Linked DNA regions of Notamacropus eugenii. The protein of the gene in region 1 interacts with the protein of each later gene in a biochemical or structural test. Links are inferred from orthologs where the notes say so. Each region holds a gene or a part of one and is shown on either strand. Other genes may lie near its edges.

Region 1 (7,111 bases):
CAGCTGCTATCTTCCCAGGGCCAGGATACTCCCTGCCCCTTTTTGCTCAGTAGCCAAAGGTCTCCTGGGAGGCATAAACCATGTAGAGGAAGCCATCTTCATCCTTCTCCTGCTCATAGATCTCCGAGATGGGTGTGGAGACGCTCACCATGCTGTGCTGGTTCACCAGCAGGAAGAAGGCCTGAGTGGGGTTAAGTTGGAGTCTGCGGCTGCATAGGGGAGAGGAGGATCGGGGGAGTCTGTTGGAAAGGCAACAAGACCCTCCAACTCCCAGCTCTGGGCCCTGACACTGGAGTTGGAGGGAATCTCTGAGCTCTCTAGTCCAACCCCTCTCCCCACTTCCTGACAACATCTCTGAGAAGAGTCATCCATCCATCCTGCCCAGTGGGAGGTCCCAGAGTCGTCCTGCCTCTTATTGGATGGTTTCGGGTTTAGGCAGTTTCTACTGACCCAAGCTGTGCCTCCTTCCATATCCTTATTCCCACCTCCTGTCTCCCACCCTTGAAGGCTCAGGGCCAATCCCTCTTCCACATGGCAGCTCTTCTAATACAAGAAGATAGCTATCATGTCTTCCCTAACTTCTACAAGCTAAAACATAAACTTACTTCCTTTCAGTAATTCTCACAGGGCATGAATTCTACTTCCTTTCCATCCTAAACACTATCCGGTGGATTGATTTGAGTTGTCAATGACCCTCCTTAAGCACGGTCCCAGAATTAAATGCTGTATTCTAGATGTCAGCTGACCAGGGCAGAGGCAGAACGAGGGAACCTTCTCTCCCCCTCTCCCCCACGTCGTAGACACCACCTCTATTTCACGATGCCTGGAATGGCACCAGCTTTCACGGCTGGGACTGTCAAGCCTGGGGTCAGATTCCCGAGGCACTGCCCTGGTCGGGTGCTTTCCAGCCCAGACCAGGGGGAGGTGAGTGGCTGGAGGGAGTGGGAGTTGGGGTGTGCCTCACTTACCGGATGATCTTCACTAATTCACTCATGTTGACATGGTCAGGGACAAGGAACTTGGTCTTGTCCAGGACAGGCAGCTGCTTTTCCCCTTTGTATCGCTCGATGATCACCTAGCGAACAGGCATGGGTAAGAGGAAGCGGGGGGCGGGCCCTTGGGGCGGCCCGGGCCCCGGCACTCACCGGTATCTTACTGGGGTGCTGCTCGCGGATCTGCTGCACTTCCTTGCATCTGTCGGCTGCAAAGCAAAGGGAGGCGGGGGTGAGGCCCGGCCCCGGGCCGCAGCGGCGGACCGTAAACAAGGAGGCGGCGGCTCCCACCCACGCGTCCGCCCCACTTCACCAGCCTGGCCTGGACCCAGCTCAGGGGGCCCCTCCGAGCACGAGCACCGCCCCCGGGTAGACAGCCAGGGCCGCGGCCCGAACCGAGACTCAGGCTACCCGGAGACCTCAGCCATCCACCCAGCCAAACTCCATGCCCGGGTCCAGGGCTCCCCCGGCCTGGCTGGGAAAGGTCGCTGCGGACGGTCGGGCTGGGGTGGGGCGGGGGGACGCGGGACCCTCCCTGGCCCCGAGCCAGCCCCCTCCCCCGCCCTGGACACTCGGAGTAAACACTCCAGGGCTGCGGGGGAGGGGCCTCGTCTGTCTCCTCCCCCCAGGCCCCTTAAAGGGCAAACTCGGGGTGGGGGAGGGCGGACCCGTCCGGGAGGCCGTCCCTGGACCTCTCGAAGTGGAGCGACCCCAGAATCGCCCTCCTGCAATGGGACCCTGCGGGTATCTGCGTGACGCCACGCGTGCCCATGACATCATCGGCCGTGGGCTCTTCCCCCGCCGGCAGGTCCCGGGACGTCTCGCAGAGTCCCGGTCGGATCCCACAGCCCCCCGCCCTACCCCGCCCTGGCCTCACCGAAGCTTCGCCGCTGCTTGAAGGGCCGGTCGGAGGGCATCGCGCCGGGGTCCTGGGTCGGGCAGGGGTGGGCTGGGGCGGGAAGGGAAGTTCAGGGTCAGGGATCCAGCTGTCGCCGCTGCCGCTCTGGTTCTCCGTCGCGCGCGCTCGGGCTCGTTCTGCTTCTCAAACCCGAGCAGCTGCTGCTCCGAGGAGATGGTAACTCGGTTCGGTGACGTCACTTCACAACATTCCTTAAAGGGGAGGCTGGCCTTGCCCTGCCATTGGGCCGACGAAAAAGCCACCCCATCCTCCCACTGACCCCGTGACGCACAGGCAGCTCGGGCCAGGAATGGAGGCCTGAGGAGGCGGGGCTCCCGAGGAGACATCGCCTGCCTGGTCGCTGCCATGACAACCGGTAGCCGCGCATCTCCGCTCTGGACCGCGACGTCGCATGCCCCGCCCCCTCAGGGTCTAAGTTGGGGCCCCCATTCCGGGCCGGGACTGGCGGGGCGTGCCCGGGCCTTCAGCCGCCGGCCGGGCCGGCAGCAGTACGGACGAGGCCTGCAGCCAGAGGTGCCGGCTCTGCCCCACGGCAGGCTCCGTAGGCGGGGTCCCCACGGCCCCCCAGTCATGCGTTCCCCAGGAGACACAGCCCTGGTTTCGAGAAGAGGGATCCCAATGGCAAGGAGTGGGCCAGGATGTCTAGGTCTTTCCAGAGACACTCAGGACTTGGAGCCGGAGGGCGCTCGGGGCCCATCTAGTCCAACGGAGGAGGCACATGCCAACTTGCCAGGCTCTGCCCCTGGCACTCAGTGACTTAGCAGTACCAAAGTACGACCCAAAAACTACATCTTCTGGCTCTTTCCAATATACGTCACTCCCAACTCATATTGGGTAAGTCCCAGGACTTTTCTGGGCCTCAGTTCCCCCACCCAGGTAGTTGAATTAGGTGATGTACAAAGCCTCTCCTAGATTACTTATTGTTCGGCCTGGTTTCACGAGCGCAAGGTTCGGAATTCTGAGGACTCCTCCAAGTACGTTCATTGCTCCTGTTTGCAGAACGACTTATTACCTGAACTTCACAGACAGCCCCCCATCCCCCCTTCCTTTTCTTTAATTAAATTAGAAAGCATTTAATACTTAATAAAAGCAAAAACATGGCTCGAAATCTTGCCAGGGTTTGTGACAGGAAGAGGGGAGGGAGTGAGTGAGATGATTTTCAGACGCTGATGTTTGAGAGGAAAATGTCAAAATATAAAATTCACGATGAGGGCTTGTTTAAATGCCGTCTGGTTTCAGGGGAAAGGCTACCAAGCAGTTTCTGTCTTCCAGAAGGGCAGAGGGAGTGAGGAGAGAAGCTGCTGATGGAACAAATGATTAACCCTTCCCGTCACCCCTGCCTGTAGCTACTCCTTTAACTCCCCTCTTGCCTTACTAAAAACTAGGGAGTTTTGGAGATTTGTAAAGAAAAACGTGTTCTTGGTCTTCCTCTCAGAATGCCAAAAGAGGTATGGTCAGGAGACAAACGATATACCAGTCATTGGCTTTACCCTGCAGTGGAGTGCAGGAAGCCTGGGTCCCAGTGCTGGTCCTGCTTCAAAGGGGTGGTTTCCTCAGTAAAAGCAGCTTTTCAGATTCTAGGATTCTAGAGAGTTGCTTCCTTTTTTGATTTATGATCAGGATGTCAGTCCTAGTTTCTGCTCAGTGCCTTGAAGCGGACTGCACAAAATGAATTCTGCCTCTAATGACTAGGAGAGAATTATTGAAGTATTTGCAAAGAACACACAAGGATGATGTAGATAACCAAATTTGAAAGAAGCAATTTAAACTGAGGCTCTTCCACTGACACACAAAGGCCTGCCTGGTTCCTTGAAATCTTGGGATGAGAAAGTTTCTTCAGCAGTCCCAGCAAGTGACTTAGGTACCCAGGGAGCTTCGACTCATTTCTGTATGGAACTCAAAAAAGTGGCTATGGATACTTTTCAGTGGAGGAGAAGGGAAGAGAGTCTGGTATCTGGTGTCCAGGAGGTGTCAAGGGTATCTCTCCTATGTTCAGGTTACAGCTAAGCTACAAGATGTCCCACTGGGGGAGGCAAAGGATGGAGGCAGTTGAAAGATGGCAGCATTGGGGCTCAAGGGACCATCACAAAACCCTACCCTACCCACAGTGCCAGGGTAGGGGCCCATGTCCTTTTATAAAGGCAGGAAATCACTCAGTATATGCCAGACCTCAAGGCTGCCTTGGCCTCACTATCCTCCTCTACACCTGATGCACAGGAAGTTGGTGTTGGCCCTTACATGCCAGGTGTTAGTTAAAAGTGGTGTTTGCACCCTCATGCCACACAAACACCTTATTTCATGTGATGTTTCTGAGAAATGGAAAATAGGCTGTTCCAGAAAAAGTAATTTTCTGGTAAAATTCTCTGGGTTATCCCCCAAACCCCTTTTAATAGTAAAGCCTTTCTGCTGAAAAATCTTCAGAAAATGTCTAAAATCATTTTCTCTACAAAATAGCCTCTTATGTGGTCCCCATACCCTGGTCTCTTCCCACCCAAGCTTCAGAAGCTATCCCTCCTTTCCCTGCTCAAAAGCCTTCAATAACTCCTTTTGGCCCCCAGTCAAAGTACATCATCCTCAGTCTGCCTGGAATTTAGAGGCCTCTACACTCAGAGTCCTACCTACCTTTCTAGGCTTAGTTGGCCCTCTTCCACTAGAAATTTTCTTCAAGGTTCAACTTAAATGCTACCTCGCCCCTCAGAGGTACTTTTGTGCATCCAGCAACCTTGACTTCAGAATTCCATGCTCTTCATTGTCTTTGTGCCCCCAGAGTGCTCAGGACCTGTGACTTTATAAAGTATAAGTAGTTCCTGATAAGGAATACAGAAAGAAAGTAACATCCAGTCTGTTTCCTGGGGTGGTGAGTGGTTAAGTGATCTGTCCAGGGGAGTATGTATGAGGTAGGACCTGAATCCAGGTTTTCCTCACAGATTAGTCTGCATGATGCAACACCAGCTCCCACACAGTAAATACTTAGTGAATAACCCTTTAATTGGTCAGGAGCATCTCAGGGACCCAAAGGAATCTTTCTTTGTAGGGAATCCCCCAGGGCCTCACGACATCAGTTAATTTTTCTTTTCGTCTTTTCCCCAAACATGGAAAGTGCTGCTGAAATGCTCATAGAAAGGTGTCTTCTAAGCTGGGGTAGAGCTGATCATGCTTCTTCCACAGGCTTCCCTCCTGGTCCTCGGGCCACCCCTTCAGACTCCTCCTCATTTTTCAGGGTCACTTCCCCAAATCCTTTGCAGGTCCCTCCCTCTGCTCTACTACTATGGGCCTGTGAAACTTGGTCAGTCTCTGTGCTGGAACAAGAGCAGTGCCCAATGGGGCTCTAAGTCTCCCCAGACCCACTGAGTGTGGCTGCAATGTAAAGATGGATGGTTTCACATTCCCACCAGTACCTGTCCTCTGGATGTTCATCCCCTTCAAATCCCTTGGAGAGGCCACACCCTCAGATCTCACCCCTCCCCCCACAAGCTGCCATTTAATTCACAGGCTGACTCCTCTACTAGGTCTTGGGATCATAGATTTGGAGGTGAAGGCCCTCTGAAGGTTATCTAGGTCAACTCATTTTGCTGAAGAAATTGAGGTCAAGAGAAGGGAAATGACTTGCCCATGACTACAAAGAACTCAGCTCTTCTAACTCTAATGTACTTTTCCCTAGATCCCCTGCTGCCTGCTTTGTCCTCACAGATCCAGGTTCCAGATCTCAACCCCCACCCTGCAATAACTCATGAGCAGACCTTCCCACCAGGGCATTTAAAGATACAACAAAAGAACAATCGTTACAGTTATTTTTAGTTCCTTTTAAAACAGCAACAAAATTAAAACCAGAAGCCTAGAGCCTGGATTGGGAGGAGGGAAGGCCTGGCCAAAGGGGAGCTCAGACCTTAGGGTGTGGGTACCAGCCCAGGCCATTAAATTTGTCTCCAAGGGCTTTCTTCCTGATGACTGAAGGCTACAGTTGCAGCCTCAGAAGATTCTAGATGGATAAAAGGTTAAGAAAATCAATTTGGGCCCCGCCCTGGGTCACATGATCTCTGCAAATCCAGTCTGACATCATCATTGTTTTCCACATGCCATTCAGTGGTGAGAGGGAATCAACAGGAATGCTTTCTTTCAGGGAGACTATTAAATTAAAGAAAAAAAAATATGGCATCTCGAATATGGCAAATTATTCTGTTGGATTTTGGATCACAATCAGGAAATAATCTTTATCTGCAAAAAGAAGAAAAGACATATGTCACACACTGATTGCTGACTCCAAGTCCAGGCTCTGCCACAAATTTGCTCTGTGGCCTTGGACAAGTACTTTGATTTCCCTAAGCCTCAGTGTTACAGGAGTGATGGAATTAGAAAATCAGAATGGGACAGATCCAGGCCAACCCACACCTGGAAAATAATTCCCACTACAACAGATCCAATGAGACAATTTGGCCTTTCCTCAAAACCTCCAGGAAGGGGATCCCACTACCTTCAAAGGCACCCCACTGCACAGTTCCCCTTCGCTGGGGAAGGGAGGGTATCCCAAGGGATGGCAGGGCTATTGTTGCTTTACTCCTGAATGTGACCCCTCTCTTTATTCTGACAAACACTGCCTTAGCCTTCTTGGATACATCATCCTACGGACTCATATACAGAGTTTGCAGTCCACTAAAAGCCACCGATCTTTTTTGGATGAAACACTGTCTAACCAAGCCTCCCTTCATTTGTACTTGTGAGGTTAATTTTTAAAATCCAAGTGTCAGACCTCACATTCATCCCTATGAAAATTCTTATTATTCAATTCAGCTCAACATTTTAGCCCATCAATATCTTTTAAAATTCTGTTTCTGTCATTCAATATATTAGCTATCCATCCCCTACCCTAGATTTGTATTATCTGCAAATCTGATAAGGATGCTATTTTGCCCTTATCTAAATTATTGATTAAAGAATAGGGAGATTCAAATTCTGGTTTGAAGCATCTTTGTTTCCCCTAAGGCAACCTTGGAAATAGCCATTTGCCCAGACTGGGGGCAAGAATATGTGTGGTAGAAGAAAATGCAGACATCTTTTACACCATGGGGAGGATAGGCTGGTCACAAACTGTATGGACTCCTCAGTTCCTCGAAGGCAAAGGACAGGGTCTTCTTCATCTCAGCCTGAATCTCCAGTGCTTAATCCAAGGCCTCTCATATAGTAAATCTTGACTAAAAGTTTA
Region 2 (7,040 bases), on another chromosome or scaffold:
AGCTTTCTGTCTTGTGTTGTCTCTGGAGTGTTACTGGCGCTGCCCCCTGCCCCCCCCCCCCCAAGTAGTCACTGTTCTGCTTCTTCCTATTTTCCCAAAGGATTCAGAAGTTTACAAGCTGCCTCTGTATAAAAAAATCAAGAACCTGGCCACAACTCTTCCCTAGCAGATGAGTCTACGTAGGTAGGGGCTTCAAATTCATTAACGCTGATGACTTAGGCAGGTGGAAGTGGAAGAGGTCAGACCTGGGCCCGCTGCGTGATAAGCTGTGAGGCGTTAAACTTGGCCACAACGCTCTTGAGCACCTCATTCACGATAGAGGGCAACACACGCTCCTCATAGTCCAAGCCGAGGCGCTGGTACATGCTGGGTAGCTCCAGGGCATTGGGTCGGGAAAGCACTCGAAGGGAGATGTTCACCATCTGAAGGTCTTGGCAGGGAACAAGAGGAAGCATTGGTCAGGGTTTGGTGATTCCCCTGCCCTCATTCAAACATGCTCTCTTCTATTCTCTTTAGTGCCTCACAATGCTGAGAACATTAAGTATGGAATTCTCTCAGCACCTAGCTTGGGACCAGGCACTTGTGAAATCAAACTTAGTAGCTACTTGATCAAGAGAGAAGACAGAATCTTTTCTTCCCCTAATATACAGGGGAGACCTGAGAGTTGCATTAAGGAATGTGCAGACAAGCTCAGCTCTGGTGGCCAATTACCCAGAGTACTGAGGAGCTTTGCAACTCTTGGTGCAATGAATTCTAAGCCAGGTTTGGAAGAAGGGCAAGGGTACAAGGTGATGGGAAGGGAGAAGGTACTTGCTTATTCATTCCTTTCACATTTACTTAGCACCCGAGGCAAGGTCTTTTACGTACTCTCAATACAGGTCAGGAAATAAGATGTGTACACAAATGAAAGTAATGCATAAAATGTACTTTTACTGTGTAGCAGAGTGAAGGCTCTCACAGGCAGAAGTAGGGGGAAGTCACTCCAAGTCTAAGACTACTTCATACAGGGCTGATGCTGGCTGGAGTAAACTAAACCAAGTTCAAGTCAACAAGCACCTACTATGCAGAGAAAACTGGAGTTTCAAAATCGACAAGAGGAAAGAGTGAGAGGCTGCACGAAGAGTAGACAGACTTGAATCAGAGCACTGGTCCCACATCTCACTTTAGAAACTCACTACATGCATGCACCACTCCAACTGATGGAGCTAGCCTCTGAATGATTAGAAGTCCATGGAAAAGGGAGAGGGGAACTCATTGCTGACTCCCAGTATACGTAAACCTACGGAACTGGGAAATGCCAGAATACATGCATGTGAAAATGGGCTAGGCAGATTTTGTGGTGGCACACTGTGACAGGCTCTAAATGAAACATTATTGTTCAGCAATAAAAGCTCATGTCTTTATTGTGCTTTAAGGTATGCAAAACAACTTAAATGATGAGGAAAGTGAGGTTCAGAGGAGTAATTAACTGGCCCAAAGTCACTCAGTTAAGAGTCTCAGAAAGTATTCCCACCTAAACCTAAGTGCAGTATTGTTCCCACAATGCCATGCTCCTTCCTCAGAACACATCTGCGATCTTTGAAAAAAGGAATGGCATGACTAGATCTCTATCAACGGAAGGTTATTCTAACAGCAGCCCAGAGTGTCCTTCTTTGAAGAGAAAAGTGCAGGCAGAAGGCTTGTTTGAAAGCCATCTGTCCAGGCAGACCTAGAGGACCTCTAGATATGAGATGAGAACAGAAGAGAAGCAAGACATTTCCTGGAATTTAATAATTCACTTGATTTGAAGAGAAGACCTGTAGGTGGTTTGTCCGGAGCTCGGAGAACATGAAGGGAGGCGGAGCAGCATGTGCTACAGCATGGGGCTGCCTGGGAGTCCCTCATTTTCTGTGAAAGAGGGGCGGTGCTAGATAGTTTCTAAGGTACTTGACAGCGCTCCTAGACAGAACGCCAGAGCGGTAAGCCCACCCGCGGGCTGGGGGGAGCACAAAGCTTCCTCTGCCGACAAGGAGGAGCCAACAAAGGTTTCTGAAAAGAGAGGTAACGTTTAAAGTGTCCTCTAAAATGGGGGGGGCATCGGAAACAGGGAAGACTAGTTTATCCTTCATCCTTCTGCCTCTAACCTGTTAGAAACTAACACCCCAGGTGAGAGGTACAAGAACAGAAAGACCCTGAGGCATGTGTTAGGCACCGGCACCAAGCGGGTGGAAGGGCAGGGATGCCAGGGGGAGCTGGGCAGCGAATGGAAGAGCCTGGCAGTAGGGCCCGAGGCCTCCCACCTCCTTCCCCTCCTGCCTCGGGGGCTCAGACTCACCTTTGGAGCCTGTGGGAGAAGAGATCTTGCGGGGCCGGGCACGGATGTCATAGATGATGGGGTACTGGAACCAGGGGATCCTGGGGGGCGGAGGCACGGGAAGAGGCTGGGTCACGGGGGGCTCCCAGAGGGTTCTGAACCCCACTTCTCTTCTCCCCCTCCAGACCAGAAGGGGGGTTAAGGGGCTTAGCTCTACGGAGCCCTTCCACGGGAGTTTCCCCACCCCTCGGGCGCCGGCCGTACCCACGAGATGGTGCGGAAGCCTCGGGGACCCTTTTCGGGGGGTGGGTAGGGGAAGGCAGGGCAGAGGAGCCGCGGGGCACGGGCCCCTCCGCAGGGCACGGTTTACCTGAAGTGCAGTCCTTCTGCCAGGATGGTGTCCTGCTGCACACCCCCGATTCGGTTAAAGAAAATGGCTCTCTGCCCGCCTTCCACTGCAAGGGGAAGGAGACACCAGTGAAGACAAGCGCGGGGCGCCCGGGGACTGGGGGTCCCGGCCAAGCTGTGGGTGCCCGGGGAGGGGGCAGAACGCGATGGGGGGGCGGGCACTCAAGGACAGGTCAGAGTTCTCGGGCGGCGGGGTCAGGGGCCCCAGGGGGCGGGGCGGGGTCCACGTGGGGGCCCTTCCCGCCTCTCTCACCCGTGAACACCGACTCTCGGACTCCGTAGGCCACGGCCCCGGCCCCGAGCAGCAGCTTCAGCGCCGTGCCCATGCCTCGGGGCCCGGCGGGCAGCCGCCCCGCGAAGTCCTTCAAGTTCTGGGCCATGTCTGCTCCCTGGCGCCGAGGCGGGGAACTAGGCCCGGGGCGCCGAGCGCTTCTCCCCTTGCCCTTCCGCAGTCCCCGGCCCTGGCCGGTGCTGGTGCTCCCGGGATCCGCACCTCTCCCACGAGGCTCCGCTACCTACTCGGCTCCTCCCAGGAGAAAGGGCACCGGAAGAGCGCTGCCTCCTAAACTCTCCCCTATATCCGGAGAGGACCCGAACTTCGGGCACCGCCTCCACGTGATCGGAAGTTGCCTCCCCTCTGTCCCGTGGCCCAGTCTTCCGGGGAAGGTGCCTCTGGCACGGCATCGTTCCCTCGATTCATCTGCCCTCTTCAAAGATGGTGACCGGAAGTCACGGAGTCTGGGCGGAAGTCGTCGCGTCCCCGCGCCCATTTCTCGAGAGGCATCCTGGGTAAGATTGGCGCCATTTCCAACCCTGTGCCCGGTTGCAAGATGGCGGCGCCCAGTGATGCTTTCCAGGCACGTGAACGGCGCATTCGGGACTCGGAGCGAGATTGGGATGCGGCGGAGCCCAAACGGCCGCGTCTGGGAGCGGGGAGCAAAAGCGGGGGCCGGCGGCTCGTGGTGGTGCTGGAAGGGGCCAGCCTGGAGACCGTCAAGGTATCGTGGGAAAGGAGAGGAGGGGAGCGGACTCGGGGCCCCAGCCTTGCAGCAGGGACTCGCCCGACCTTGGAGCGGGGGTGGGGGCTTCGCCTGCTTCTCTGGCCCTCACCCCTCGAGTTAGGGGGGAGTTGTGGGGGCTCGTTTCCGCGCCTCCCCACTCCCCAGCCTACACCTGGGACTGGTTCAGGCTGTCATGGATCTTCTCTGGGATTTAAGCTGTTAGGGTAACTCCTGCCCCCCGTCCCCCCAGACGCCATAAAGCCTTGGAGTTGGGAAGACCTGGGTGCAAATTCTGCTGCGGAAACGTACTGGCGACGTGACCCTGGGACACGTAGCTGGAACTCTCGGAGATTGAAAGATGCCTGAGGGGAGGGCCGATTGGTATTGGCAGAGGGAGCCCCGCCCCGAAAAAAGGTGCCGTGACGGCTTCTTCGGAAGTGTGTATCCGTCACACTGGGCGCCCCTCCCCGTAGGGATACTCAGTCCTCCCCAGCCGTCTGAGTCTTCAAATCTACCGTCTGTGCTGATGGAGGTGACCGGTGGAGGGGGTCCTACCTCCTTCTCCTTACTCTCCTAACCCCTTGCTTTCTACAGATGGTAAACACTTGCTAGTCTTCTTCCATTTGTTAATTTGAATACCTGTGCATTCCCTTCCCACCAACTGTTTCATATTTTGAATAAATTGTTTCAGTGGAAAGAACTTTGGATCAGGTAGTTTCCATCACCTAGCACATAATGGGAAAATTGGATTTGGAGGAGCAAGGCTCAGTTTTTGGCTCCACCAGAATTAATGGAGATTAGAATTATTACAGAGGACAGTTTCTAACTCAAATTTATGATTTTGGGCAAGTTAAGCCTCATTTTCTTTTATCGTAAGGTTCTGAATACTGCAAAAAGGTTATACCATACAAGTACAGATTTCATTCCCTTAGCTGATTCTTATTTAGCCATCCTTTGGACAACTTTTCCAAGACTTAGGAAATTAGCTTATCCACTTCAACGTCTCATCCTGGCAGAATTCTCTACAAAACTTAGGGTGAGTTTCACTTTCGCTCAAATCACTGAATCTGATGTCTTCCCAGTTTTCATTGAGCAACAACTTTCTGAAACCCTTTTTGGGTTTCTGGGACACTACCCTGACCTGGCTTTTTGCAGAGTTTTTTGCTTCTCAGTTTCTTTGGCTAGTTTCTTAATCCTTGTCACTCCCCTTAGCTGTGGGTGTTTCCTAAGGCACAATTCTGGGTTCCCTTCTCTTCACTGACTTTCTCTCTGCATGACCTCAACCACCTTCCATGAATCTTTATTTACAAAACTGATCACAGCTACGGACTTCAGAAACAAAATCATTCACCTGGACGTACTCGGAGGTTCTTATCTGTTACCCTCAGGACCTCACTTGATTAATGTAATCTTGTGCCAAGTCCTTGCCCTTTCTACCTTCGCAACCTTTCTCCCATCTGATCCCTTCTCACTACTCTGACAGCTGTGACCTTAATGTAGCTATTCATTACTTTTCCTGTCGTGTAGGTTATTTCAACCTAAGTAAAGGACACTTTATACTTATCCCTATTAAATTTTATGGCTCTCATATGTCATCTAACATAATAACTACTCCTAGGATTTTTCTGCCTGCAGATCTGATTAGTGTGCTGCCACCCAAGCCTTAATCCAAGTTGTTGATGGGAGTCCGTCCTCTCTATGTCTGATCTACCCACAAACCTTTTTGGTTCCAGCATACCTTAAAAAAGGCCTTCGATGTTTTATTCTGGTGTTTGATTGTGGCATGGATAGGACAGTTGGCTTTCTAAGACTATTCTTGCAAATTGTACTTTGCAAGTTATGCCAGGATAGCTGCACCACATGAATCAGTACCTCTAAAAGATCACAGTTGTATGCAGCATTTAGTGACTGATGAAAACACTGATTCTTTTTTTAATTATTGAATTATCACTCATTGCAAACCTCTCTATGCAAAGACTTAACCCTTTTTGGGGGGAGGGGAAATTCTCACCTACCTTTATCTTTTTAAAAAAGTAAATTCAGTGAGTTTCCTGTTTATCAGGATTATCTGCCACTATATATATTTCATTTTGTCCAAGTTACTGATATTTCTAACAAAAGCGAATCTGGACAATTGATTGCATTAGTTTGTGGGGCTGAGGGGGAGAGGGAAAAGTTAAGTTGTAAATTACTTAAATTCTTCTTTCGTGTTAACTGTTGGTTTTTAAAAATCAGCTCTCTCCCTTCTTCTTTACTGGTATATTCAATACTACAAATCTGATAAAGTATGCCTTGGTGTTTTAATCAGATTCTGAAAACATGAAAGCATGAAAGCTCTTCAGCTTATTCCTTCCACTGAATCCCTGACAAACTCTGACACTGATGCTGACACTACCTTCTTGCAGTGCTGCTAATGGATCCTCTTAATATTTTTAAAAAACCTTTCTCAGAGATACCTTTTTCCTATACTGAGTTGTGGTTCTCAGGAAGTTTTCCCTTTATGGTTTTATCTAGCATCATACACTATACACAAAAGATTCCCATAAGCCTAGCTCATGATCTTTGTACAACCTTCTTGTACACCTTGCTATAGGTACTTTCCATTTCTAACACTGTGATTTTGAGAGACTGCCTAGTTCATGTAATTGTAGAAGGGTAAACAAAGGAGCTTCTCAGTCTTCTGAATCCCAGTTAAATTCTAAAAGTCCATCGTCAGTGTCACTACCATTCTCTAATCCAGGTTGGCAACCTCTGCTTTTCATACTTAGTACTTTGTTTTACTGAATTTTGTTTTTATTGCTGACCCACCCCTTCTCTTTAGTTCCCCAACTACCTTAACAATGTCTACCCTGTCATAGGATGTGGGAGGGTCCAACCCTTCCCAGATGAGGAAACTGAGGTGTGGAATGACAAGCGCAAGATCATATATACTGAGTGGCAGAACTGGAATTTTCCATTGTATCACACCACCTCCCGAGATTATAGAAACCTCCATGTAGTTTCTTGCTTGTTTCCTGTTAAGTCTGCTTGTTTTCTGTTAAGTTTAGCATGCCTCTCTCCGACTAGCCTTAGTTGTCTTATCAGCATTTTATGACAAGACCCTTCATCATTAGTTACTTTCATTCCCACTTTTTCTACTTCATCTCCCATTACCCTTAACTTACTCAACACTTAAAACTTGCAATGCATGAACTTACTCTATTAATTTCTGGATAGCCAAATGGGGCTAAATTGGATTTAGAACTGTCTTTGTACATACAGTGCTCCATCCTTTTTGAAAAATTAAATTCAGACTTTACTGCTTTCTACTTCTTTCTCTTCCCAGGTAGGGAAAACCT

What was found. The genes of interacting proteins can lie anywhere in the genome.
Region 2: the proteins of MAP1LC3A (region 1) and PHB2 form a complex in vitro, tested with the Homo sapiens proteins (2 studies listed by BioGRID). The link is inferred for Notamacropus eugenii from reciprocal best matches to the Homo sapiens genes MAP1LC3A and PHB2.

The regions. Positions count from the first base shown.
Region 1 is NC_092872.1:418,665,979-418,673,089, reverse strand, and holds the start of MAP1LC3A (microtubule-associated protein 1 light chain 3 alpha), read right to left. Parts: upstream 3,015-7,111; 5' UTR 1,910-3,014; coding exon 1,870-1,909; intron 1,202-1,869; coding exon 1,146-1,201; intron 1,076-1,145; coding exon 969-1,075; intron 210-968; coding exon 47-209; 3' UTR 1-46. Other genes in the region: DYNLRB1 (dynein light chain roadblock-type 1), read right to left, coding at 6,083-6,126. UniProt on the Homo sapiens protein: Ubiquitin-like modifier involved in formation of autophagosomal vacuoles (autophagosomes). While LC3s are involved in elongation of the phagophore membrane, the GABARAP/GATE-16 subfamily is essential for a later stage in autophagosome maturation.
Region 2 is NC_092874.1:195,386,508-195,393,547, forward strand, and holds the start of PHB2 (prohibitin-2), read right to left. Parts: upstream 3,089-7,040; 5' UTR 3,082-3,088; coding exon 2,955-3,081; intron 2,749-2,954; coding exon 2,664-2,748; intron 2,395-2,663; coding exon 2,315-2,394; intron 431-2,314; coding exon 246-430; intron 1-245. Other genes in the region: EMG1 (ribosomal RNA small subunit methyltransferase NEP1), read left to right, coding at 3,532-3,699, 7,028-7,040.